2 linked regions of the Oryctolagus cuniculus genome follow. The protein of the gene in region 1 purifies or fractionates together with the protein of each later gene. This does not show direct contact. Links are inferred from orthologs where the notes say so. Each region holds a gene or a part of one and is shown in the gene's direction. Other genes may lie near its edges. The genes, in order: ATF2 and ATF1.

Evidence for each region.
Region 2: the proteins of ATF2 (region 1) and ATF1 purify together in Homo sapiens (affinity purification with mass spectrometry; 3 studies listed by BioGRID and IntAct, with this or other methods). This does not show direct contact. The link is inferred for Oryctolagus cuniculus from reciprocal best matches to the Homo sapiens genes ATF2 and ATF1.

What each region holds. Positions count from the first base shown.
Region 1 is NC_091434.1:65,970,370-65,982,364, forward strand, and holds the start of ATF2 (cyclic AMP-dependent transcription factor ATF-2), read left to right. Parts: upstream 1-4,237; 5' UTR 4,238-4,288; exon of another isoform or gene 4,289-4,519; intron 4,520-4,658; exon of another isoform or gene 4,659-4,744; intron 4,745-11,995. UniProt on the Homo sapiens protein: Transcriptional activator which regulates the transcription of various genes, including those involved in anti-apoptosis, cell growth, and DNA damage response.
Region 2 is NC_091442.1:53,793,600-53,805,858, reverse strand, and holds the end of ATF1 (cyclic AMP-dependent transcription factor ATF-1), read left to right. Parts: intron 1-1,185; coding exon of another isoform or gene 1,186-1,220; intron 1,221-5,888; coding exon 5,889-6,033; 3' UTR 6,034-7,372; downstream 7,373-12,259.

The sequences.
Region 1 (11,995 bases):
TGAAAGCCAAACTTAGCTTTTCTCCAAGATTTTGAACTCTGAAATTCTTTAAATTTCTTGTCTCTTGGCTCTTACAAAAATCTATGTTCAATCTGATTGAGAACCCTGGGCCCTTGAGTCTTCTCTTTTATTCCAGTTTCTTGCCCCTATTACCTTCACCTGTTCCTTATCCTGTTTGGTCTACAGTTTAAAATTCCTAGGAAAATGGAATTGAATAATTTTAGGTATAAAATTCTGAAACCCATGCATAGTTTTTTTTCATAAGTCATATTTTCCATAGACTTTGTGAAGACCCTTCATATACAGCCATTTAACCCTTATCATGATCCTGCAAAATTGGGATTTTTTTTTCATTTTCAATATGCAAAGAAAAATAGGCTCGAGAAGAGTTAACTCCCAGAGTCACATGGATACTAAGTGGCCAAGTCATGATTCAAAGCCAGACCTTCTTTTATTCTAAAACCTTTGCTTTGGTTTTTTTATGTGACTGTTGTAGGGATGACAAGGAAAAGGCTAGTTGGGTGAAATGGTGAATTTTTAAAAAAATAGAGGAGGTATAATTTTACATATGGATTCTGGGCTTGGGAAGAGGAAAGGTATGGTGTGTGGTATGGAGATGTGAATAAATGCACTGCAGAGGACCAGTAAGGACCCAACTCCAGGTAGATAATGTGAATTTGTAGTGAAACTCATTGACCTACTTTGTGACTCTCCAGCAGTGTTGGGAAGCTTGTTAATGTGAACTGAGGTGCACAGTGATAGAAATTATTCGGGCTGGGAATTGGCCAGAAGAAATGGAGGAAGGCCGAAGCGGCATACAGGCACCGTGTTCAACAGACTGACCTATGAACTCCAAACAGGATAAGGAACAGGTGAAGGTAATAGGGGTAAGAAATTGGAATAAAAGAGAAGACTCGAGGGCCCAGGGTTCTCAATCAGGTTGAACACCCATTTTTGTAAGAGCCAAGAGACAAGAAATTTAAAGAATTTCAGAGTTCAAAATCTTGGAGAGAAGCTAAGTTTAGCTTTCATGGTATTAGTCTACTGATCTTATGATGTACTTAGGACTCAAACACATGGTCCACCATTAAGGACAACTTTTTTTTTGAGGGGGGGCGCATTTAATACCATCCTCTGCCTCAGCACATATGATAGTTGCATTCTGTCTCTGCCAACAGCAACATGATACCTTGACTTGCTTTGATAGTTTACAGAGGCAAAAACTTATCATGGGTACAGAATTTATTTTTTTAAATACCTTTGTTTTTATAGATTACTTAAAAAGCAGATGGCATGAATTTATTTATACTCCTCTTCCCCCTACCCATATCCATGTCCCTCCCACCCTTATCACTCTAGGTCACATACTTTCAGCCATCAATCTGTTTATAATCTCTAAAAACTGGTCCTGGTTCCCAGCAAGAATTTGTACTTTCTCCTGAATGACGTAAGTAATGTATCTCTGGAATGTTTAGTAACTTAGGTCTTCTTTCTCAAGGGAGCTCAAATATTGAAGAAAGGACTTGGCCTAAGAGGGACTCATAATTGGCCTAAGTCCCAGCAGAGACTCATAAATCCTAGGGCTTTGGTTGTCCCTCCTATTAGCAAGAGCCAGCATCCCACAGCTGATCTTCATAGGGACTGAGGATCAATGGTTGTTGGCAGTGGCTGCTTTTCTACAATAGCTTTTAGTCAGCACTTCCCAGCCACGGGGATTCCAGGATCTCCTGTTATAGTTGAGTCCCAGGGTTTGCCTCCTCAAATAGCTACATAGGTTGACCGAGTCTCAGATGCTGGAAACAGCAGTATTTTCTGGGAACAGCTCACAGAACTGCCCCCCTCACTAGACCTCTCTACAGTATCTGTTACTCTCAAGTTCTCTTTTTGTCAAACAACATAGCTTTCAGTACTCCCTGTTATCATACCCTATTTTCTCCGTGGTACTTAACCACTATTAAATTATCTTTTTGTTGATGTATGTCATGTGCCTCCTCATCCCTCCTCACGCCACAAAGTCTCCTTAAGGGACTTCATCTTATTTATAGTGGCAGCCTCACAGCCAGGAACAGTGCATGGCATGTTCATGCCAATATATACAGATGCTTTATGAGCACAGACACTGAGAAGTCAGTTGACAGTTGACCTAAGAGGCTGTATGCAAGGGAAGAAGGTAATTGGAAAGAACAGGGTGTTAGTTCCAAGGACCCAGGAGGAACCACAGGACCAGACAGACCTGTCTTGGTTTCTGGCATAAGGAATCCATGGCTTTGTCATTATGTAGGCCTCAACTTGACAAATAGACTGGTTACTGGGAGCCACAAAGGGTAGATACTCGGATGCTACACAACTCTACACTAGGGAGGGTTTCACCCACTTTTACTGATACCTTGGAAGTGTGGGGAGAGCAGAATATAATGAAGGTGATCCCTCTTTCTATAGAGTCAGATGAGAGCTAAAGAAAAAGCCATCTTAAATTCTGTTCTCCCTCTCTGGGCTGGTTGCACTGAAGCTGGCATAGCTCATGGGTATGATTTGAAGGTGAGTACAGCTCTCTAATTTTTTTCCCACAGTGACACAATTGACTATACATTTTTCTGATAACCCAAGGATTTGGATTGGACATCTCTGCACTTGAAATGTCCTAAGTAGAAATTTCTAAGTGGACATGTGCTGAGGAGGTAACTTTAACATGGGCCATGTCAGGAATGTTCAGGAAAACCCTGGGCTGTCAAGAGTGGGTCAAGAAAGATCTGCCATGAGATGAAAGCTACGAAACAAATCAACTAAACTGTCTAGGTCCATGCTGCCTCATCTCATCTCAGATTCAGGGGGTTATTTATGCCTTGCTTCCCCCTGCTATTTCACTACACACACACACACACACACACACACACACACCTCTAACTCCCTACCTCTTGATCCCACTAGTAAAATCCCAATTAATCCCTTGTATTAGGCTACATCTTCAGGATACCATGAAAATCCAGAGGTTCTCTCCCTCAGCCACAGATTAGTTAGGCAAGACATAGGAGTTATGCAGACATAGGAGATACCCTAGTGTATAGTATTCTGGGTTATATTTAGCTACAGACAAGCAGGAACTGCTTGCTTTTTAAATTTTTCATTATTTATTTGATAGACTGGTTCACTGCTCAGATGCCTGCAATGCCTGGGGCTGGGCCAGGACCACAGGAAGAGCTGGGAACCCAATCCAGGTCTCCCATGTGCGCTCAGGAACCTGATTTTAAGCCATCACTGTTGTCACTAAGGGTCCATTAGCAGGAAGCAAACCACGTACTCCAATGTGGTATGTAGTTGTCTTATTACTTATGTAAGAGGCAGAGAAACAAAGAAGGGTGCTATTTCCATGTCATACTCTAATTTGGTGTTTTTTGGTCCTCTAGGAAACGTTAATAGGGGGTTGTTGCAGTTTTAAAGGGCTAAAGTCAGCTCTATTAAAATTGATATATTTTTATCTGTAAAAGGAAAAATAATAAAATAGAATACACTTAATATGGAGGCTTTGCTCTTAGAAACAAGTCGTTGCTTAGTTTTTAAATGATGGTGATATACTGGAAATACAGTGTATTTTGGTAAATTACTTCAAACAAAATTACATGCTAATATCCTACACTGTACTAGGTGCTGGGAAAAAGAACTCCGAAAACCCAGTTCCAGTTATAGCTTAGTAAATTCAAAGAAAACTCATCCAAGGTAAAGGCTTTTTCTTTTCGTTTCAGAACCCACTTCTCTTGCTTGATTATCGGCAAACTCCGCCTCTCCCAAATCTCAGCCGAACCGAAGCTCCCCCTCCCAGTCTTCCGGGTAGCTGGGAGGTGGGCTAGAGGCTCCCCTCCCCTCGATTTTCCCACCTCCCTACCGGGGCCAGGAAGTGACAGCAACGGAAATAGGGTGAGATCTCAGAGCTGGGCTCGGAGAACGCGTCCTGCTTTCTTTCCAGCCACTCGCCGTGTCTCACAAGCCAAGCCCGACACCCTCCCGCGCCCTACACAGCCACCTGCTCCGGCGCCCCAGCACCCGCGCCCGCCTCCAGCTGGCTGCCAATCACAGCCTTCCGCAGCTCCAGGGTTACCGAGACGACGCTCCTTGGGTTCTCTGATCCCGCCCCTTCCAGAACTGCTTCCCGCCCTTCAGGCTCCTTCTCCAATCATCTGCGCCCGGGTGTTCTTTTGTTCCCGCCCCCTCCGTCCCCGCCCTCCTGAGGGCCCGCCCATTTCCTTAAGCTTGACGGAATCACCTGACCCGGAGGCGCTCCCTCAGAAGGAAGGCAAGAAGGGGCGTGTGCGTGGCGGGCCGGGACGCGAGAAGAAAGGGGGGATGCTGGGAGTGGGGCGGAGAGAAGGGTTGTCAGTCTGATCTCGCGAGAGAGGACGGAAGCCTGTGGGAGCCCGTGGCCTTTAAAGTGCGGTTCAGCCCTTTCCTCCGGGGTAGTTTGTAAACACGGCTGTCCTCGGGCTCCTGGGCGACCGAAAGGATCATGAGCCAGTGACCTGCAAAGGTGAGTAGTGATGGGGAGAGGGCCGCAGGGCTGGCGACCGTAGGGAAAGAGAAAGAAGGCGCTAACATGGCGACGTCGCTCACCATAGTCCCCATCCCCCGCCTCATCACCCCTGGCGCTCCTGCCGTGGTCCCTAGCCCTGGGGGCGAGCGAGGCTGTGCTGCCATCTCAGCGGCGCGCGCGGCTTCCGCGTCGGGAGCCTGACCGGCCGGGCCGGACCGTTAGGTAACTGGCGTTCGTTGTTCCGGCCCCTCCCTCTCGCGCGCTTTCCTAACGAAGAGGAAAAAGGGATAACGGCTCCCCTTAGACCCCTCCCTCCGATCTTGCCTCCCTTTCCCTGGTCGGTTCCGGGGCCCCCGGGGCGTCGGGCCCGCCGAGTGCGCGGGGCGGGGGGAGACACCCCCGTCTCAGCCCTTGGATTGGGCAGGAGCAGGGCCCACTATGGTCTCTCTCCACGCAGGACTCTTGCGGTTGAGGACCGTGGGTTTGTGATGGTGGCGGGGAGGAGGATCGCGAGGCGAGGCTGAAAATAGGGTCAGGGTCCCTGCCTTCGGCGGAACCTGACGAAATGAATGGTGGCGAGAGCCTGGGAGCCTGGAGTCGCGGCCCTTTCTGTCCTTTCTGCCACCCTCACATTCCCGCCACCCCCCAGTTTTTCCAGGTGGGGCGGGGCCAAGGTGTGGGTGCAGACTGATTCTGGTATTTTCCCTCTTCGTTTGCTTCCCTGGGTGGACTACAGATCTTCTATGGGGATTTTTTTTTTTTTTTAAATCGGTACCCTAGGGTCTAGGACTGAGAGAGGACGAGGTGTATATGTGTGTGTGTGTGTGTGTATGTGTGTGTGTTGTATGCTGGTTCCTAGATCAGAAGCTAGGAGGAGGACTGAGGAGGAGGGGCAGGGGACGACTTGTACTCCCAGGTAGTATAAAATTACCTCGAATACGGTGGAGCAAAATAAATTACCCCTGATGGACCTCAGGGCTATTGACTAATCCTAAATTATAATGTGAAAGTTATGAATTATGGAGGCAGTCACCATGTATATACTTAATGCATATATTTGAAATCAGAACAAAAACTGCTTCTCTGAGCACACTTCTTACTTGAAGAAATTCGTAACCACTGGCATTGCCAGTGTCAGTAATAACCATATTAGGCATAATGTTCAATAGCCAAGTAGCCCAGATCTGTTGTACCGAAATTATGAAGGTAAGACTTTGTTTATAAAGCCTTGTCAAAAGAACTCTGAACTAGAAACACAGTTTGTTTCATTGGTTTAAAGAATCGACTGTAAACACTTTTATCAAAATGATGGGAACTTTCTGTAAAGTATGTTAAAAAAAATACACTACACCCTTCTGCAAGTCAAAAAGACTTAACAAAGCTCATGGATCTTTAAGGTCAATAGTTGAGAATGCTGGTCTTTGTAAAATAATTTGCAAGAATCTTCCACATCTACAGTGATATTTATGCTGCCTTCCTAAGACATGTTTAATCTTGACTTGAGAGGATGTTGCTGCTGTTTTTTTTTTTTAAATTGAAATGTATATGTGTAGTTTAGAACTTAAGTTTTTAAAATTTTAATTGTCTGGAGTTTTCAGGGACTTTTTTTTTTCTGTGTGTTTAAGGTACGTAATGCCTATGTAGATCTGGTAGAATTTCATGTAAACTCTTTTTCAAATACCTTATTAGAATGTTGGTTTTGTATTTGGGGCACTGTACTATCAAAAACATTGCAGAAATTCCTTCATTAACTTTTTTATGTGGGATTTTGGTTTCTTTCATTAAATTTGTTTTGAAGTTTGTTAGAGAGACAGAACTCCCACCTGCTTGTTGTCTCCTCAAATGCCTACAACCTCTGGGACTGGGCCAGGCAGAAGCCAAGAGACAGGAACTCAGTCCAAGTATTCCATGTGGGTAGCAGGGACCCAACTACTTGAGCCATCACTTCTGATTTCTGGGGTTTACATCAATTGGAAACAGAAGCTGGAGCCAGTTATCAAACCTGGGTACTGGGAACCCCTGTATATGGGACAATGGCATCTTAACCAGTAGGTTAGATCTTTATTTTTTATTAATGTTTTAAAAATATCTATTTATTTATTTGACAGAGTTACTCAGAGAAAGGAAGAGACAGAGAGGGAGAGAGATCTTCTATCCACTGGTTCACTCCCCAAATGGCCATAACAGCTCAGTGCTGGGCAAGGCTGAAACCAGGATTCAGGAGCTTCTTCCAAGTCACCCATGTGGGTGCAAGGGCCCAAGCACTTGAGCCATTATTGCATACTTTCCCAGGCATGTTAGCAGGGAGCTGGATTGAAATTAAGCAGCCAGCTCTTGAACCAGCACCCACGTGGGATGTCAGCATTGCAGGCGGCAGCTTGACCCATTATACTGCTGCGCTGGCCCCCATCTTTATTTTTTAACTAAACTGTAGAAATAGTTATTACTGCAACTCCTTCACAAAAAATTGAGGGAGTACTTTTCATTGGTATTCAGGATTTGGAAGTTAAATGAGTATTTTTTTAAAATGATATGCTAGATTGGGCATTTGGCCTGGCAGTTAAGATACCGGTTAGGATGTCCATATCTCACATCACACTACTTGGGTTCCATTGCCTGCTCCAGCTCCAGCTCCATGTTATAGCTTTGTGCAGATGTGGACCTTAGGAGACAGCAGTGAAGGATGAAGTTGTTGGGTCCTGTCACCCAAATGGGAGACCTGTATTGAGTTCCTGGATCCTGGTGTTATTCCTTCCTGACCCTCCCTACCACTGGCCACTGTGGGCATTTGGAGAGTGAACCAGTGGATGGGAGTGTTTTCTGTCTCTTTGACTGTCAAATAAGTAAAAAATTGAAGAGATGTGTTGTCCATCAAACATCTACTATCTTTAATTAGCATTAACTAGAAGAAGTCATCTACGCTTCTACTTAAATTTTTTATTTTGGAGATGGGCATTTAGCCTAGTGTTAAGACACTGCTTAGGACACCCATATCACATATCAGACTGCCTAAGTTCAAGTCCCACTCCACTCCCAACTCCAGCTTTCTGCTAATGAACACCTAGGATAACAATGGATTATTACAAATAGTTGAATTCTGCCACCCATGAGGGAAGACAAGATTCAGATTGAGTTTCTAGCTCCCAACTTTCAGTATGGCCAAGTCCCGGCTATTGCAGGCATTCAGAGAGTGAACCAGAAGATGAGAGCTCTCTTTATGTCTCTGCCTCTCTAAATTTTTGCATTTTGGAAAACTTGATTTTTTTTTAAAGGTATATTTATTTATTTGAAAGTCAGAGTTACACAAGGAGAGGAGAGGCAGAGAGGGAGGTCTTCCATCCGCTGGTTTACTCCCCAATTGGCTGCAACGGCTGGCTGCACTGATCTAGAGCCAGGAGCCAGGAGCTTCTTCCAGGTCTCCCATGTTGGTGCAGGGGTCCAAGGACTAGGGCCATCCCCTACTGCTTTCCCAAGCTGTAGCAGAGAGCTGGAACAGAAGTGGAGCAGCTGGGACTCAAACCAGCACCCATATGGGATGCTGGTGCTTCAGGTCAGGGCGTTAACCTGCTGCGCCACAGCGCCGGCCCTGAAAAACTTCATTTCTAATTATTTATTCTCTGCTGATAAGTTGTGATATCAAACAATTCCACCATACTTGCTAAAGTATTCCACTCATTTTTTCTTTTTTCTTCTTTTTTTTTTTTTTTTTTTTTTGACAGGCAGAGTGGATAGTGAGAGAGAGAGACAGAGAGAAAGGTCTTCTTTTTGCCGTTGGTTCACCCTCCAATGGCCGCCGCGGCCGGCGCACTGCGCTGATCCAATGGCAGGAGCCAGGTACTTCTCCTGGTCTCCCATGGGGTGCAGGGCCCAAGGACTTGGGTCATCCTCCACTGCACTCCCTGGCCACAGCAGAGAGCTGGCCTGGAAGAGGGGCAACCGGGACAGAATCCGGCGTCCCAACCAGGACTAGAATTTGGTGCGCCAGCGCCACAAGGTGGAGGATTAGCCTAGTGAGCTGCGGCGCCGGCCAAAATTAGTATCATTTCATAGAATATCCAGAATTGTTAAAGTCATCAATAATTATGAGTATTTTTCATATTAAATATAAAATATAATTATAAATCTGTATATTTATTTTAGATCTCTTCATTTTTGTTGACCACCTTGAAACTAGTGTATTCATTTTTTAAAAATCTTAGTGATAATTTTTTTCGTCTTAGCATTTTGGCCATGGTAGTATATTGATTTAAACATTTTTACAGTAAGAGGGAATGCAAATAAAATGCTGTGAGATCTTGGCCTATTCACCCATGTCTGTGTTAACATACCTTAAGTCAGATAGTGGGCCTCAAACTTTTTTTTTTTTTTTTTTTTTTTTTTTTTGCCTTAACAACCAAGGAATAGGATATACTATCAATAGTAGTGGTGGCTTATTATCACAGAGATTCTGAACAAGATTGGCAGTGAAAGATAGGGTGGGAATAATTGTATAATTGGCAAAAGACCAAATGGACTTTTGTTATTTTGGTAGTATGTGACCACTTTCATCTATAATCTTAACCTTAAAATTTTTTTTTTATTTGAAAGGTCAGTTTACATAGAGATAGATCTTCTGTCCTCTGGTCCACTTCCCAAATGGCCACAACAGCTGAGGCTGGGCCAGGTCAGAGTCAGGAACCAGGAGCCTCATCTGGGTCTCCCACCTAGGTGCAGAGACCCAAGGACTTGGGCCATCCTTTGTTGCTTTCCCAAACCATTAGCAGAGGCTCAAACTGGCACTCATATGGGTTGCTGGCAATGCAGGCAGCAGCTTCACCAACCATGCCACAATGCAGGCCCCTTTAAATTTATAAATATGTTCCCTAAATTTTTTTTAAAGAATATTGTGTTGTTTTAAAAGACAGAGCTACAGGGAGGGAGAGACAGAGAAACAGAGAGAAATATCTTCCATCTGCTGGTTCACTCCCCAAATGGCTACAACAACCTGGGATGGGCCAATCCAAAGCCAGGAGCCAGGAGCTTCTTCCAGGTCTCCCATGTGGGTGCAGGGGCCCAAGGACTTGGGCCATCTTCTGCTGCTTTCCCAGGCCATAGCAGAGAGCTGGATCTAAAGAGGAACAGCTGGGATTCGAACCGGTGCCTATATGGGATGCCAGCTCTGTAGGCTGGGGCTTTAACCCGCTATGCCACAGCACCGGCCCCCCATTTTTTTTATTTTTATTTTTTTAAGATTTATTTATTTGAAAGAGGAAAAGACAAAGAGATCTTTACTGGTTCACTCCCCAAATGGCTGCAATGGCCTAGGCAGGGTTGATCTAAAGCAAGGAGCCAGTAGCTTCTGGGTCTCTCACAAGCACTTGGGCCATCTTCTACTGCTTTCCCAGCACATTAGCAGGGAACTGGATTGGAACCAGTGCAGCTGTAACTCGAACCTATACCCGTATGGGATGCTGGTGCAGCAGATCTCAACAGCAGCTTTACCTGCTGAGCCACAGTGCTGGCCTTGGTCTTCAAATTTTAAAGCTTTGCTTTTCTTAATTATAGTTTGAGCTAACATGTTTTCTTGTATTGGTTGAATACTTTTTAGAACAGCGTTATTGGAAACTCATTTTGCCATACTAATAAATGACTATTTTTGCATCCTTCTGTTGTACATGTACTGTAGTTGTTACCGAATATATCATAGAAAAGTTTTTACTTTTGTAACATTGTATTTTCCCATGTTCTCTAAGCTTTATAATTGATAGATATATATTAAACTATACTTGATAGTTATATGATAGTTAACAAAATCACTATCAAAGTGCGCTCAGTTTTACATGCCCAACAGGGACATAATTTTGAGGTTTTTGACTACTTGAATATTGATTTGGATGTTTCTGTGCATGTGTCTTTTTCTTTCTTGTTTCCATAGAATACTAATCTCAAGTGGGATTACTGGCCAAGGATTTAAAACTGTTTCTCCAGTTGCCAAATTGCCAACTCTTCAGAGTTGATGAAATTTACACTGTTGACAGGTTATTAATGCACTAGCTTTGTTATAATTTTGCCAACTTTAGAGTTGGCAGTTATTAGTAAGATGTGATTTCTTAACTGGGAATTATTAAGTTGTATTATTTAGCAATTTTATTTTTTAAAACTTTTTATTTATTTGAAAGGCAGAATGACAGGGAGAGGCAGAGAGAGTTCTTTGACCTACTGGTTTATTCCCCAAATGGCTATAATGGCCAAGGCCTAAGCCAGAAGCTTGGAACTCTGTCCAGGTCCCATGTGGGTGGCAGGGTCCAAGTACTTGAGCCATCTTCCACTGTTTTCCCATGCACATTTACAGGGAAGTAAATAGGAAGCAGAGCAGCCAGGACACTAATTGTTGCCTGATTTGTGATGCTGATGTAGGCAGTGGCTTAACCTGCTGTGCCACAATGTTGACCCCCATTTAGCAATTTTTAAATTATTTAGTTAACTATATCATTCTGAAGTTAGTTATCTACAACTGATCTTTTGAAACAAATATTGAGTATTTTGTATTTTCTGTAAATTCACTGACCTTATTTCTCCTAAGCTTTACTGAAACTTTAGACAGCCTAATAACAATAATCCTTAAATTTTGTGCAATTTTACACAGTTTGCACATTGAATGTCTATGCTGGTTGTTTGTTTTAATTTAAATGCTACTTTCTGAAATGTAGATTTGATAGGATTTCTGTATTTGTCATTATGTGTTATTAAGACTTAAAGTGACAAACTATAATTTCCATATCAGTAACCCTTTAAATGAAGAATGTCTATGTTGTAGCCAAATTGGGCTTTTGTTTCCTCAGTACCTTCTTCTGGCACATGGTGAATATGTAATCAATGCTTTAGAGTAGTTATTAGGGGCCAGATTGTCATGAGACCACCACTTAATTATTAGCTCTGTTAAGTAAATTATATAATGTTTCCATGCTTCAGTTTCTTTATCTTTAAGGAGAATAATACTTAGCTTTGTTGTGAACATTCAAATAATGTATATACAGTGCTTTCAGAGTCAGAAACTCAGTGAGTATCCGGTGTAAGGTATACTGATGATTATTGTTGAAATTCATTCAGATATAGTACCAATCATTAGGGCAGCCTGTCCAGGCATGCTGTGTGTGATATGGCTTGAAGGCAGTCCAGCAACCATCTGTTTGGTAGCTTTGGCAACAAAGTTGACTTTTCCCTAAGGATTTTTAATTTGTGGAATTATAAGGTATAAGGAGTTTACCACCTTAACATTTTCATAAATCCATGTGAGAGAATATCTCATGTTTTTTGTTCTATATGCACCTCATTTCCCCAAGTCAGGTTTTTCTGTTCAAATTTATGATGTATAGCATTATCTGTATTTTGTTTTAAATTATTGGCATGATTTCCATAAAGTCCAGTTATTTTTCTTCCATGTCATTCCCACTATAAACATTCTAGGAAGACTTTTGTTTCTTTTTCCCCATA
Region 2 (12,259 bases), on another chromosome or scaffold:
AAAGATAACATAAGGGGAATGAAAATACAAACTGTAGGTCTATGGAAGATACTTGTAACTTACCTAACCAGCAAAAGATTTTTTTTGAAAACAATACAAAGACCTTGTGAATCAATAAGGGGAAAAAAAAAGGCATAGCAAAATATATGAATGGTTAATAACCATACAAAAGAGCAATCAAAGAAATGCAAATAAATACCACACACTTAGATACTACTTATACCAACCCAGCTGGCAAGCATTTTAAAGTGTAAAGAGGAGTTGTCAGGATTTAGAACCACAGAACTTAGATACTGCTATGGGCCTGACACAACCACTTTGGAAATGAATTAGGCCTTACCTTGTGCAGGTGACCTGGATATCTTATGACTTGACTGCTTTGTATGTGACTGAGAGACTTGCAGAAGTATGCATAAGATGTTTATAGCAAAAATCAGGGAACAACCCAAATATCCGTTGATAAAAGAATGGATGCAGAAGTTGGGACTGATTTTATACTATGCAGTACTTTCCATTTGTAAGGATTGAGTGGTCATTTCAACATGAATAAAGCTTAGAAAAATGAAAGTTAAGTGAAAGAAAGAACTTGCAACAATATATAAAGTGTAATATTTTATGATCTTGGAAAATTAGGAAACCAAAGATGATTTACTGTGTGGAGTCAGACGTACGTACTAGAGCTGTGACCGTGAGCAGAGAGTTGAAACTAGTGATTGCTGATGAGCCGGAGACCAGAGTACCGAGGGCTGCCTCCCCGTACATGTGATGTGTCCTCTTGAGTATTGCACGTATTCACCCTCATTTTATTTGCTGTGCTTCCTAACATATATCCGTACCACATGGGCTTTTTTATGTGTATACTGCTTCATAAGAAACAAATGTTTAGAATCCACAGTGATTTTTAAGTAAATTTAGTAAGACGTTAGGATTTTCCAGAGAAACAGATGGCTCACCAGATTATATACTGAGAAACCCCATAATATCCCTTTCCATAATAATATGGATAGCCAGTTTTGTAGCTCAGCCCAAGGCTGATCAGGGGTGGGGACAGGGGCACAGGTGTAAGTCCCAGAATCTAAAGGTCAAGGAAACACGAGTGCTGCTGATGGCCAACACCAGGAAACCAGGAGTGTCCAGCTCAGGTCTTGAGAATTCACCTTGCCTCTGCTTTTTTGTTCTATTCAGGCCCTCAGCGGATTGGATGATGGCCACCCACAATGGTGAGGGTGGATCTTCTTTACTTACACATTCAAATACTAATCCCTTCTGGAAGCTCCCCCGCAGATATGCCCAGAAGTAATGCTTTACCGGCTCTCCTGGGCATCCCTTGGCCCTGTCAAGTTAACCCACAAAGTCAGCCATCACAGGTGTTCTGCTGCTGTTTGTAACCATCTTGAAAATAACAGTGGGAAATAATGCTGCATCCATATTAATGACAAAACGTGAAATACCTAGGAAGAATTTAATAGGAAAGGTATAAAATCCATTTAAAAAATCTTGTAACTAAAACTGTATCTGAACAATTAGGAAATATACTGAAATATATTGTTTAAGAGAGAGACAGTTAATATTGAGTATCAGTTCTTTCAGATTTTGCATGTAAATTCAGTGTAGTTCAAACTAGAATCTATACATTGTTAAGGAAGTAGACAAAATAAGCTGAGAGTCTACATGGAAGAAATAAGTATTCAAGAAGAGAAAGAGGTTACTTGTTTTATTTTTAAAATTTATTTATTTATTATTTGAAAGGCAGAATTAGAGAGAGAGAGAGAGGTCTTCTATCCGCTGGTTCACTCCCCAAATGGCCACAATGGCCAGTGCTGGGCCGATCTGAAGCCAAGAGCTGGTAGCTTCTTCTAAGTTTCCCACATGGATTTAAGGGTCCAAGGATGTGGGCCATCCCCTGCTGCTCTCCTATGCCGTTAGCAAGGAGCTGAATCAGAAGAGGAGCAGCCAGGATTCCAGCTGGCACTCATGTGAGATGCTGGCACTGCAGGTGGTGGCCTAACCCTGTACAGCACAGCGCCGGCCCCATTGTTTTATTAGGCACTGAAATAATCCAGTAACATCAAAATCAGCCGTGGGTATCTTGGTATCTGCACAAGAACAGAGAGTAATGTTATTAAATATGGCGCAGCTCAGAAGTACCTTCTTTGCTATTAAGTACATTTGCAAGGTTACTTTAGTTTTGACTAACGATGTTGATACAACTAGCCCCACACTTGAATGAAATTAAGTTGGACCCCTGTTTTGTTTCTTAGGCAGAGAGACAGGCAGAGATCTGTATCCACTGGTTCACACTCCAAGTGCCTGTAACAGCCAGGGCTAAGCTAGACTTAAGTCAGAGCCCAGAACTCAATCCAGATCTTCCATAAAATTGGCAGGGACCCAAGTACTTTAGCCAATACCTGAGGCCTCCTAGATAGTGTGTTAGCAGGAAGCTGGACTGGAAACATCAGCCAGGATGCAAACCGGGCACTCGTTATGGGACATAGGCATCCCAAGTGACAGCCTAGCTGCCATGCCAGTCTTCGGATCAGCGCAGCTCCAGCATTGCGGCCGTCTTGGGGGTGGACTAGCGGATGGAAGGCTTCTCTCTCTCACTCGCTCTCTGCCTGTCTGTAACTCTGCCTTTCAAATAAACAAATAAATCTTTATTTAAAAAAATGGGGGGTGGGGGCCGGCTCTGTGGTACAGCAGGTTAACGCCCTGGCCTGAAGCGCTGGCATCCCATATGGGCACCGCTTCTAGTCCTGGCTGCTCTTTTTTTTTTTTTTTTTGACAGGTAGAGTGGACAGTGAGAGAGACAGAGAGAAAGGTCTTCCTTTGCCATTGGTTCACCCTCCAATGGCCGCCAGGGCCGGCGCACCGCGCTGATCCGATGGCAGGAGCCAGGTGCTTCTCCTGGTCTCCCATGGGGTGCAGGGCCCAAGCACTTGGGCCATCCTCCACTGCACTCCCTGGCCACAGCAGAGAGCTGGCCTGGAAGAGGAGCAACCGGGACAGAATGCGGCGCCCTGACCGGGACTAGAACCCGGTGTGCCGGCGCCGCAAGGCGGAGGATTAGCCTAGTGAGCCGCGGCGCCGGCCTCTGGCTGCTCTTCTTCCAATCCAGCTCTCTGCTGTGGCCTGGGAAAGCAGTAAAAGATGACCCAAGTCCTTGGGCCCCTGTACCCACATGGGAGACCTGGAAGAAGCTCCTGGCTTTGGATCGGCACAGCTGTGGCCATTGTGGCCAATTGGGGAGTGAACCAGCAGATGGAAGACCTCTCTCTCTGTCTCTACCTCTCTCTCTAACTCTTTCAAATAAATAAAAGTAAATCTTAAAAAAAAAGGAAACCACTAGAAAGACAACCTAGTTGATAGATAAATGAGCAAGTGTAAGTGAATTGCACATTTACAAAAAACCAGACCAATACACTCTTGAAAAATATGCTCGTCCTCATAAGTAGTGAAATAATTAACAAGATGTCACACGGCAGAAACTCAAAAGTGACTGCCATTGAGTACATAGAGAAAAGGTATTTCACGTACATTAGTGAGGGAAATTGTGGTTTTTTTTTTGTTTTTTTTTTTTTGTTTTTAAGATTTATTTCTTTTACTTGAAAGAGTTAAACAGAGAAGGAGAGGCAGAAAGAGAGAGAGAGAGAGAGAGAGATCTTCCATCCACTGGTTCACTCCCTAATTGACTGCAATGGCTGAAGCTGCGCTGATCCGAAGCCAGGAGCCAAGAACTTCTTTCGGGTCTCCCACATAGGTGCAGGGGCCCAAGGACTTGGGCCATCTTCCACTGCTTTCCCAGGCCATAGCAGAGAGCTGGATCAGAAGTGGAGCAGCCAGGTCTCAAATCAGCACCCATGTGGGATGTTGGCACTGTAGATGGTGGCTTTACCCACTATGTCACAGCACCAGCCCCAAAATTGAAGTTTTATAATACATAGTCTTTGACTCAGCAGGTCTGCTTCTGTGTGACAAGATACCATAACAAGCTTAAAACTATGTCTTTTACCTGTGAAAAATATTTGCATCTATCTCTCTCTATATATATCTAGATCTATAGATCCATAGATCTATATATACAACTATATATAGGTGTCTATATATCTATATCGATATAGATATATATATATAGATGTATATATCTGTATCAATATAGATCTATAGATAGATCTATAGATATATATATAGATATCGATATAGATAGAGATCTATAGATATATAGATCTATAGATAGAGATCTATATATAGAGAAAGAATTATAGCTTATACAGTCCTACCTGTATCTGTACAGCCAAATGTAATAGGTATATAAATAGATTTATTTCTGTAAATAAATGTGAGATCTAAGAAAAGAAAAAAATACATAGCCTACAAACATGAAATCACATCAGACTTTTTGCATAATCAAGAAATGGGAATTAAAGCAAGAAGATACAAGTTTGTAGCCATTAGACAAAAATTTTGTAATTTTTATAACATCAGAAATTAGAGAAAGTGAAGAGAAGCAGATATTCCGAGTGTAGTGCTGAGAAGGATATACATTGGTAGATGCCCTGGAAGGAAATTTGGCAGCATCTCTTGATTTAAATGCATATAGTTTGAGACCCCACATTATATATGACAGGGGACATGTATAGGATATTCACTGGAGGCCTCTTGGAAGTCTTTCTGGGAGGTGTTGGTTAATAATTACAGGTCCTACGCACTGCCTTGAAAAATAGAGATCTGTGTACTAACAGAAAGATCGTTAAAACAGCATGTGTAGAACGTGTTGCAATTCAGATTTACATATATGGTATAAAAAGCCAAAGGTAGCATCCACCTCTTTATAGATACTGGGTAACTTGATGTGCCTTCCCAGAAGTGTTCTAAGAGGATCTCACAGAACTGAGTGTTGGCTCAAGCACTGTTTTTATTTTTATTTTTTTAAACACATGGGTTTTCTTTCTTTTTAAAAATTTTTTAGAAGATTTTATTTATTTGAAAGGTAGAGTTACTGACAGTGAGATGGAGAGACAGAGAAAGATGTCTTCCATCCATCCACTGGTTCACTCTCCAAATGGCCACACGCCTGGAGCTGAGCCGATCCGAAGCCAGGAGCCAGGAGCTTCTTCCAGGTCTCCCATGCAGGTGCAGGGGCCCAAGGACTTGGCCATCTTCCACTGCTTCCCCAGGCCACAGCAGAGAGATAGATCGGAAGTGGAATGCTGCTGGTGGAGGCTTAGCCCACTATGCCACAGCACTGGCCCCTCAAGCATTGTTTATAATTCAGACTTAATAACCAGAAATTGAAGAAGTTATGTGAACAATTAACCAGAAGACCCTTAAATTTTACTCTCTGGTATTTATTCAAGAGAAATGAAACCTAAATCTACAAAAAGATTGGCACACAACATGCATGGCAGCTAACGCTAGAAATAGCCCAAGAGAATACATAAATAATTTATATTTACACAGTGGAATGCATTCAACAATATAAAGGACAAACCAGCATGCAACAACATGGGTGAACCTCAAAACTATGTTGAATGGAAGGCAACCCAGACACAAGAGAACCTACTGACACTGTTGCCTGAGGTTCTAGAATAGGAAGAACTGAGCTGCGGTGACAAAATCAGACTAGTGGTTGCTTGGGAAAGCACTGACTGAACCTCCTGCGGCATTGGACATGTGCTGTCTCTCCAGGGGTACAGGTGATGCAGGCATGGGCGTTTGCCAGAACTGGTTGAATTCTACTCTTAAGATCTGTTTACTTTGCTGTATGTAGGTAATACCTTAAGTTTTCAAATGAGGGGGAAAAGGGGACCAGGTAAAATTACAGAAGAAAATTTACTATTTAAAGAATGTAAAGTTGTTTTCTAACATTCAAAACAAATGTTTATATTTAGAGAAGCTGCTCGAGAATGTCGCAGAAAGAAGAAAGAGTATGTGAAATGCCTGGAGAATCGAGTTGCAGTTCTGGAGAATCAAAATAAAACTCTGATAGAAGAGTTAAAGACTTTAAAAGATCTTTATTCCCATAAAAGTGTTTGATTCTTAAGAAAGAAAGAAAATATTTTTGTGGACTTGCCTAAAAATTAGATGGATTTCTTTTTAGCAGAGTTTTATAAATTAAAAGGTCAAAAGTGAAGCTTTTTATTTAGGTTTTTGCAACAAAGATATCTTATGCAAGAGATGTGTCGACAGGATTAAGTGGAAAACAACCTCAAGGAAGCTCTGGGCACAACTGGAAGCTGTGTAAAAATTAAACTCAAGAACCAAGAAGCAGGCATTTTCTAAATAACAATGGTGTCAACCCAGAAATACAAAAAAGATGAAATATGGTAAATTGAATTTTTAAAAATAAATCAATTTACCCTATAGGTTTGCATTTCTTATTGTTTCCTGAAATTTACCTTTTTTTCAGTTGTGTGTGTGTGTGTGTGTGATTTTTGCCAATAAATTCTAAATTACAATTGTAAAAGAAAACCTTAGTACATTACTAAAAGATAAATTATGTTTTATGATTATATATGCTTGTTCCATTGTCAGGTCTTTTAAGTGAGTTTTTTTTTTTTTTTTTAAAGTTTATTTGTTGGACTTGAGAGGGTTTTTGAAACTGGGTTAACCATTTTGAGGTCTTGTCCTAAAGCTATCTAAGGTACATGAATGGAGTGTGGTGATTTTATAACTTTTTTTTTTATCAGAATGGAAAGAAAACTGTTTAATAGTTTAATGTTTTTAAATTGGTCCTTGCTTACTCTGGTAATGGTGATTTTCTACAAATATGTAATAAATTTTTTTTGATTCTGTATTCTGTATGCAGTTGAATATCCATTACTTATTCTGTGTGCTTTAATAGAATGGAATGTTTACAGGCCCTTAAAATATATTATTTTTAAAAAAACCTGAAGATGCATACCAAAGTTTTTCCAAGAGGATTTTATAGTCAATGTAAGGTTTATCAGATCTTAAAATAGTACGATTATTAAGGTAATTTTATGTTAGAGACTATTTTGTAATGTAGTGAATGGTACCTTTATAAGAAAAGTGACTGCCAATATATTTTTATAGCTGATCTTTATAAATTCTAATATTGAGTTTTTAATGATTATTTTAAATGTTTATATAGTTTGTTTAGTAAAAAACATTTGCATCTCAAAGTATCATTTTTATATTATGAGAGTAAAGTTTTCAGATTGGCTAATATTTGCATTGTAAGTTTTATATGCAGTTTATCTAAAGAGAAATGCTGTCAGTACATACACCTGTGTTTAACCTCTCTGTATTCCAATTTGTATACACTTTGAAATTGTACCGCGAAACTATTGTGTGCTTCTATACAATATGTATCATATTGTCCATGAAATTAAAAAGAATTTGATAAAATTAAGTTTGCTGGACGTAAGCTGATGCTTTATGTGTGGGTGAAGGCTTACTGATAGCCTGTGTTAAAGATACTAATGACGGCGGTTCTAGTTTTTTAATGAGGTACGTTTGCAGTTAGTTCTGGAGGATTATGGTTGTATTTTTTGTTTCCATCAGACCAGTTGGAGTAAACTCAGCTAACTCATGGTTAAAGGAGACTGTTACATAGGCAGTCTTTAACTCATACATTTATGATGGATCCCCCTGTAGAATCCTGTTACTCAAAAGGCATTTAAAATAGGACAACGTTGACTTGGCTGCCGCTGTTGAAGTGTGATCACCAGAACGCTAACGTCACTTAATACCGCGTGTAAAGCCGTAAACTCAGCCAGTGTCCCTGAGGCCTCAGGAGCAGAGGGAGGTATATGCTCACTGGGTTGTGTCAGAAGAGTGTCTTCTTAATAAAGATTTATTTACTGATGTGAAAGGCAGAGTTAGAGAGGGAGAGGAAGAGTTTACTCTCCAGACGGCCGCGGGGGCCCGGAGCCTGGCACGCCATCAGGGTCTGCAGCCGCATTAGCAGAGAGCTAACCTGAAAGTGAAGCAACTGCGCCGCGAGCCGGCCCGCATAGGCAGCAGCCGACAGTGCTGCGCCACAAAGCTTGTCCCCAGCAGTTTTCATCGTGTCAAGGGTGAGCCACGGGGCCAGCGCCTGCAGTGCCGGCATCCCATATAGGCGCTGGTTCGAGTCCTGGCTGCTCCAGCCCTCTGCTACGGCCTGGGAAAGCAGTAGAAAATGGCGCCCCTGCACCCGCTTGGGAGACCTGGAAGAAGCTCCTGGCTCCTGGCTTCGGATCGGCACAGCTCCGGCCATGCGGCCAGTTGGGGAGTGAACCTCTCTGTAATTCTGCCTTTCAAATCAATCAATAAATCTTCAAAAAAAAAAAAAAAAAAAAAGATGATCCAGCTCTTTGTGCTGTAGTAGTTGCATGTTGTCAGGTATTTGTAAACTCTGCTGCCCCAGACTTCTGGTGTAAAGTCTTGCTCACCAGACCCAATTAGTGCCTCTGGATGTGTACAACAGGCCTGGGCAAGCCGCTGAGGCTTCCTTAAATGCACACCGAATTGCTTTCCTGGATGTTTTTCTAATTGGAATCCAGTGTGGGACTTTATAACTTTTTCAAATGATAAGAGTACAGACATGAATTCGGACTTCCAAAATGCAAGACTAATGGAATTATTTCCTTAGCTTAGTATTTTACTTAGTAAATCATGAGTTTATAAGTTTACGTATTGCAGGGCTGCTATTGTGGCACAGTGGGTTAAGCCGCCACCTGTGATGCCAGCATTCCCTATCGGAGTTCCAGTGTGAGTCCTGGCTGCTCCACGATTGGCCACGACGGCCGGAGCTGCGCTGATCCGAAGCCAGGAGCCAGGAGCTTCTTCCAGGTCTCCCATGGGGGTGCAGGGACACAAGGACTTGGGCCATCTTCTACTTTCCCAGGCCTCAGCAGAGAGCTGGATCAGAAGTGGAGCAGCCAGGACTCGAACTGGCACCCATATGGGATGCAAGGCAGCAGCTTTACCCACTATGCCACAGTGCTGGCCCCTCTCCCTGTCTTTCTGTAATACCTTCAAATAAATATATTTTTTAAAATTCATGTATTGTGTTGATGGAAATAGATTATGGCCCACAGACACATCAAGGGCATATAATAAGATGTCTCTTTAATTTTATTGAGCATGGTCATTGATTAGAGCTTTGGAAATCTTGTATTTATTCTTATACCAATTATTACACCAATTAGACCAGGTTAAATCTGTATTTTTTCCTGTTAAATATGTAGACTTTGTAGGGGCACAAGGTACATAGTATGGCTCGGAATCATGCAATCAGTTGTCATAATGGCAGTTCAGAGACCCAGAAAGATGCTAGAAATTGATACAATGTGTGTGAAGTTTAAGGGCTTGATAGTGAACTTAAAGGGACAGTCACAGGTATAATCAAATATACAGTGTCATCGTGTTCAGTAGTTAATGTCAGCATCTCAGTCCCGAGTGCCCGAGTTCAAGACCACTCCAGGGTCAGTGCTGTGGCTTAGTGGGTAAAGCCACCGCCTGCAGTGCCGGCATCCCATATGAGTGCTGGTTCAAGTCCTGGCTGCTCCACTTCTGATCCAGCTCTCTGCTGTGGCCTGGGAAAGCAGTGGAAGATGGCCCAAGGCCTTGGGCACCTGCGCCCACATGGGAGACCGGGAAGAAGCTCCTGGCTCCTCGCTTTGGATCAGCACAGCTCCAGCCGTTGCAGCCATCTGGGGAGAGACCCTCCCCCCCCGACCTGTCCTCTGTGTAATGGTGACTTTCAAGTAAGATAAATCTAAAAAAAACAAAACAAAACAAAAAACTACGGTCTCCTGCTCGCTGAGACTGGGGTGGCAGCAATGTTAGCTCAAGTAATTGGATCCCTGCTGCCCTTGTACTCGCCTCCTGGCTCCAGCCCCAGCCCAGCCCGTCATCATGGGCATTTGGGGAGTGAACCAGTGGATGGGAGCTCTGTCTGCCTCTGAAGGAACAGAAAGCCATAGCTTTATAAGATCTATCAAAATATAACTGTGATAATCATATAACATCATTTGCTCATATATATATATATATATATATATAAACTTTTACTATAAAACAGTGAAACAGGGCCAGCGCTGTGGCGCCTGGAGTGGTCTTGAACTCGGGCACTCGGGACTGAGATGCTGACATTTCAACTACTAAACACGATGACACTGTATATTTGATTATACCTGTGACTGGCCCTTTAAGTTCACTATCAAGCCCTTATTCTCCGCCCGCAGTGCCAGCATCCCATATGGGCGCCAGCTGCTCCACTTCCGATCCAGCTCTCTGCTATGGCCTGGGAAAGCAGCAGATGGCCCAAGTTCTTGGGCCCCTGTACCTGCGTGGGAGACCCAGAAGAAACTCCTGGCTCCTGGCTTCGGATTGGCCCATCTCTGGCCATTTGGGGAATGAACCACCGGATTGAAGACCTCTCTCTGTCTCTCCCTCTCACTGTCTAACTCTCTCAAGTAAATAAAGTCTTTTTAAAAAACTCTGAGATAACATTTACATCAAGGTTGTAGAATTCAGAAGCCTGTTGTAGGGAGAGTTTGGCAGGAATCTTCAGGGGACAGTCACTTTACTTCCCTTCCTTCCTTTTTTTTTTTTTTTAAGATTTATTTATTTGAAAGAGTTAGAGGGGAGAGACGGAGAAAGAGATCTTCCATCTGCTGGTTCACTCCCCAGATGGCTGCATTGGCAGGGGCTGGGCCAGGCTCAAGCCAGGAGCCAGGAGCTCCTTCCAGGTCTCCCACCTGGTGGCAGGAGCCCAAGGACTTGGGCTATCCTCCACTACTTTCCCCAGCCCATTAGCAGGGAGCTGGATTGGAAGTGGAGCAGCCAGGACTCGAACCGGCGCCCATATGGGATGCTGGCACAGCAGAAGGCATCTTAACCTGCTATACCACAGTGCAAGCCCCTCTTTTTTTTTTTTTTTTTTTTTTTTTTTAAATGTATGTATTTGAGAAGTAAGAGTTACTGACAGAGAGGGATAAGATGGAGAGAGACGTCTTCCATCTGCTGGGTCACTCCCAAAATGGCTGCAAATGGCTGGAGCTGGGCTTCTTCCAGGTCTCCCACATTGATGCAGGGGTCCAAGGACATGGGCCATTCTTCACTGCCTTCCCAGGCCACAGCAGAGAGCTGGATTGGAAGAGGAGCAACCAGGACTAGAACCCGGCGCCCATATGGGATGCCGATGCTGCAGGCGGAGGATTAACCAAGTGAGCCACGGTGCCGGCCCCTCTTTTTTTTTATTTTATTTTTATTTTTTTTAGGATTTATTTGAAAGGCAAAGTAACAGGGAGGGAGAGACAAACTTTCCATCTGCTATCCCCCCTCCCCGCAATGGCTGGAACAGTCAGGGTTGGGTCAGGTCAAAGCCGGGAGCTAGGGACGCCATCTGGTCTCCCACGTGGGTGGCAGGAGCCCACCCATTTGATCCATCTTCCACCGCTGTCTTCCCAGGTACATTAGCAGTGGAGCAGCCAGGACCCGAACTGGTGCTTTGATAACGGGATGGCGGTATTGCAAGCTGCAGCTTAACCAGCTGCGCCACAACACGGCCCTGCGCCTTTTCTTTGTTTTCTCATGGTGAGAAGGTGGCATTCAGAATTAGCCAGCTGGTGGCTGCAGGGGGTGGTTGCAGGAGGACTGATAAGCAGGAGCCAGCTGAACACAAGCCTCTGTCTTGGGCCTGGCCAGGGCGCTGTTCTCGCCGTGTAGTGTCGTGGGGCTTCCTCCCCGCCTCTTTGGTGCGGAGCTTGAGTCCACGTGAGCACGCCTGTGCTGTCGTCTTCTGTGCGCGTGGTGCTGGGGGAAGTCGATGGCAGAGCTGTCAGGCTTGATCGTCCGGGCGCTCTTTGGGGGGTCTTGGGGCTGGGTGTGGGTGACAGCAGGCGCATTTTTGCCGAGTGTGGACACCTTTCAGCACTGCCACCTTGGCCTTCAGAGCCTTTGCTTTGGGAGGGGCAGGAGCCGCCTCCTTCCCCTTCTGGATGGTCTTGGTGACAAGCCCCGGACCTTCCTTCCTTCCCTCCCTCCCTCCTCCTTCTTCCGTCCCTTCCCTTCCCCTTAAGATTTATTACTTCAGTTGAAAGAGTTACAGAGAGGCAGAGAGAGATCTCTTCCATCGCTGGTTCACTCCCTAAATGGCCACAATGGCTGGAGTTGGGCCATTCTGAAGCCAGGAGCCAGGAGTCTCTTCCGGGTCTCCCAAGTGGATGCAGGGCCCAAGGACTTGGGCTCATCTTCCACTGCTTTCCCAGGCCATAGCAGAGAGCTGGATCAAAACTGGAGCAGCCGG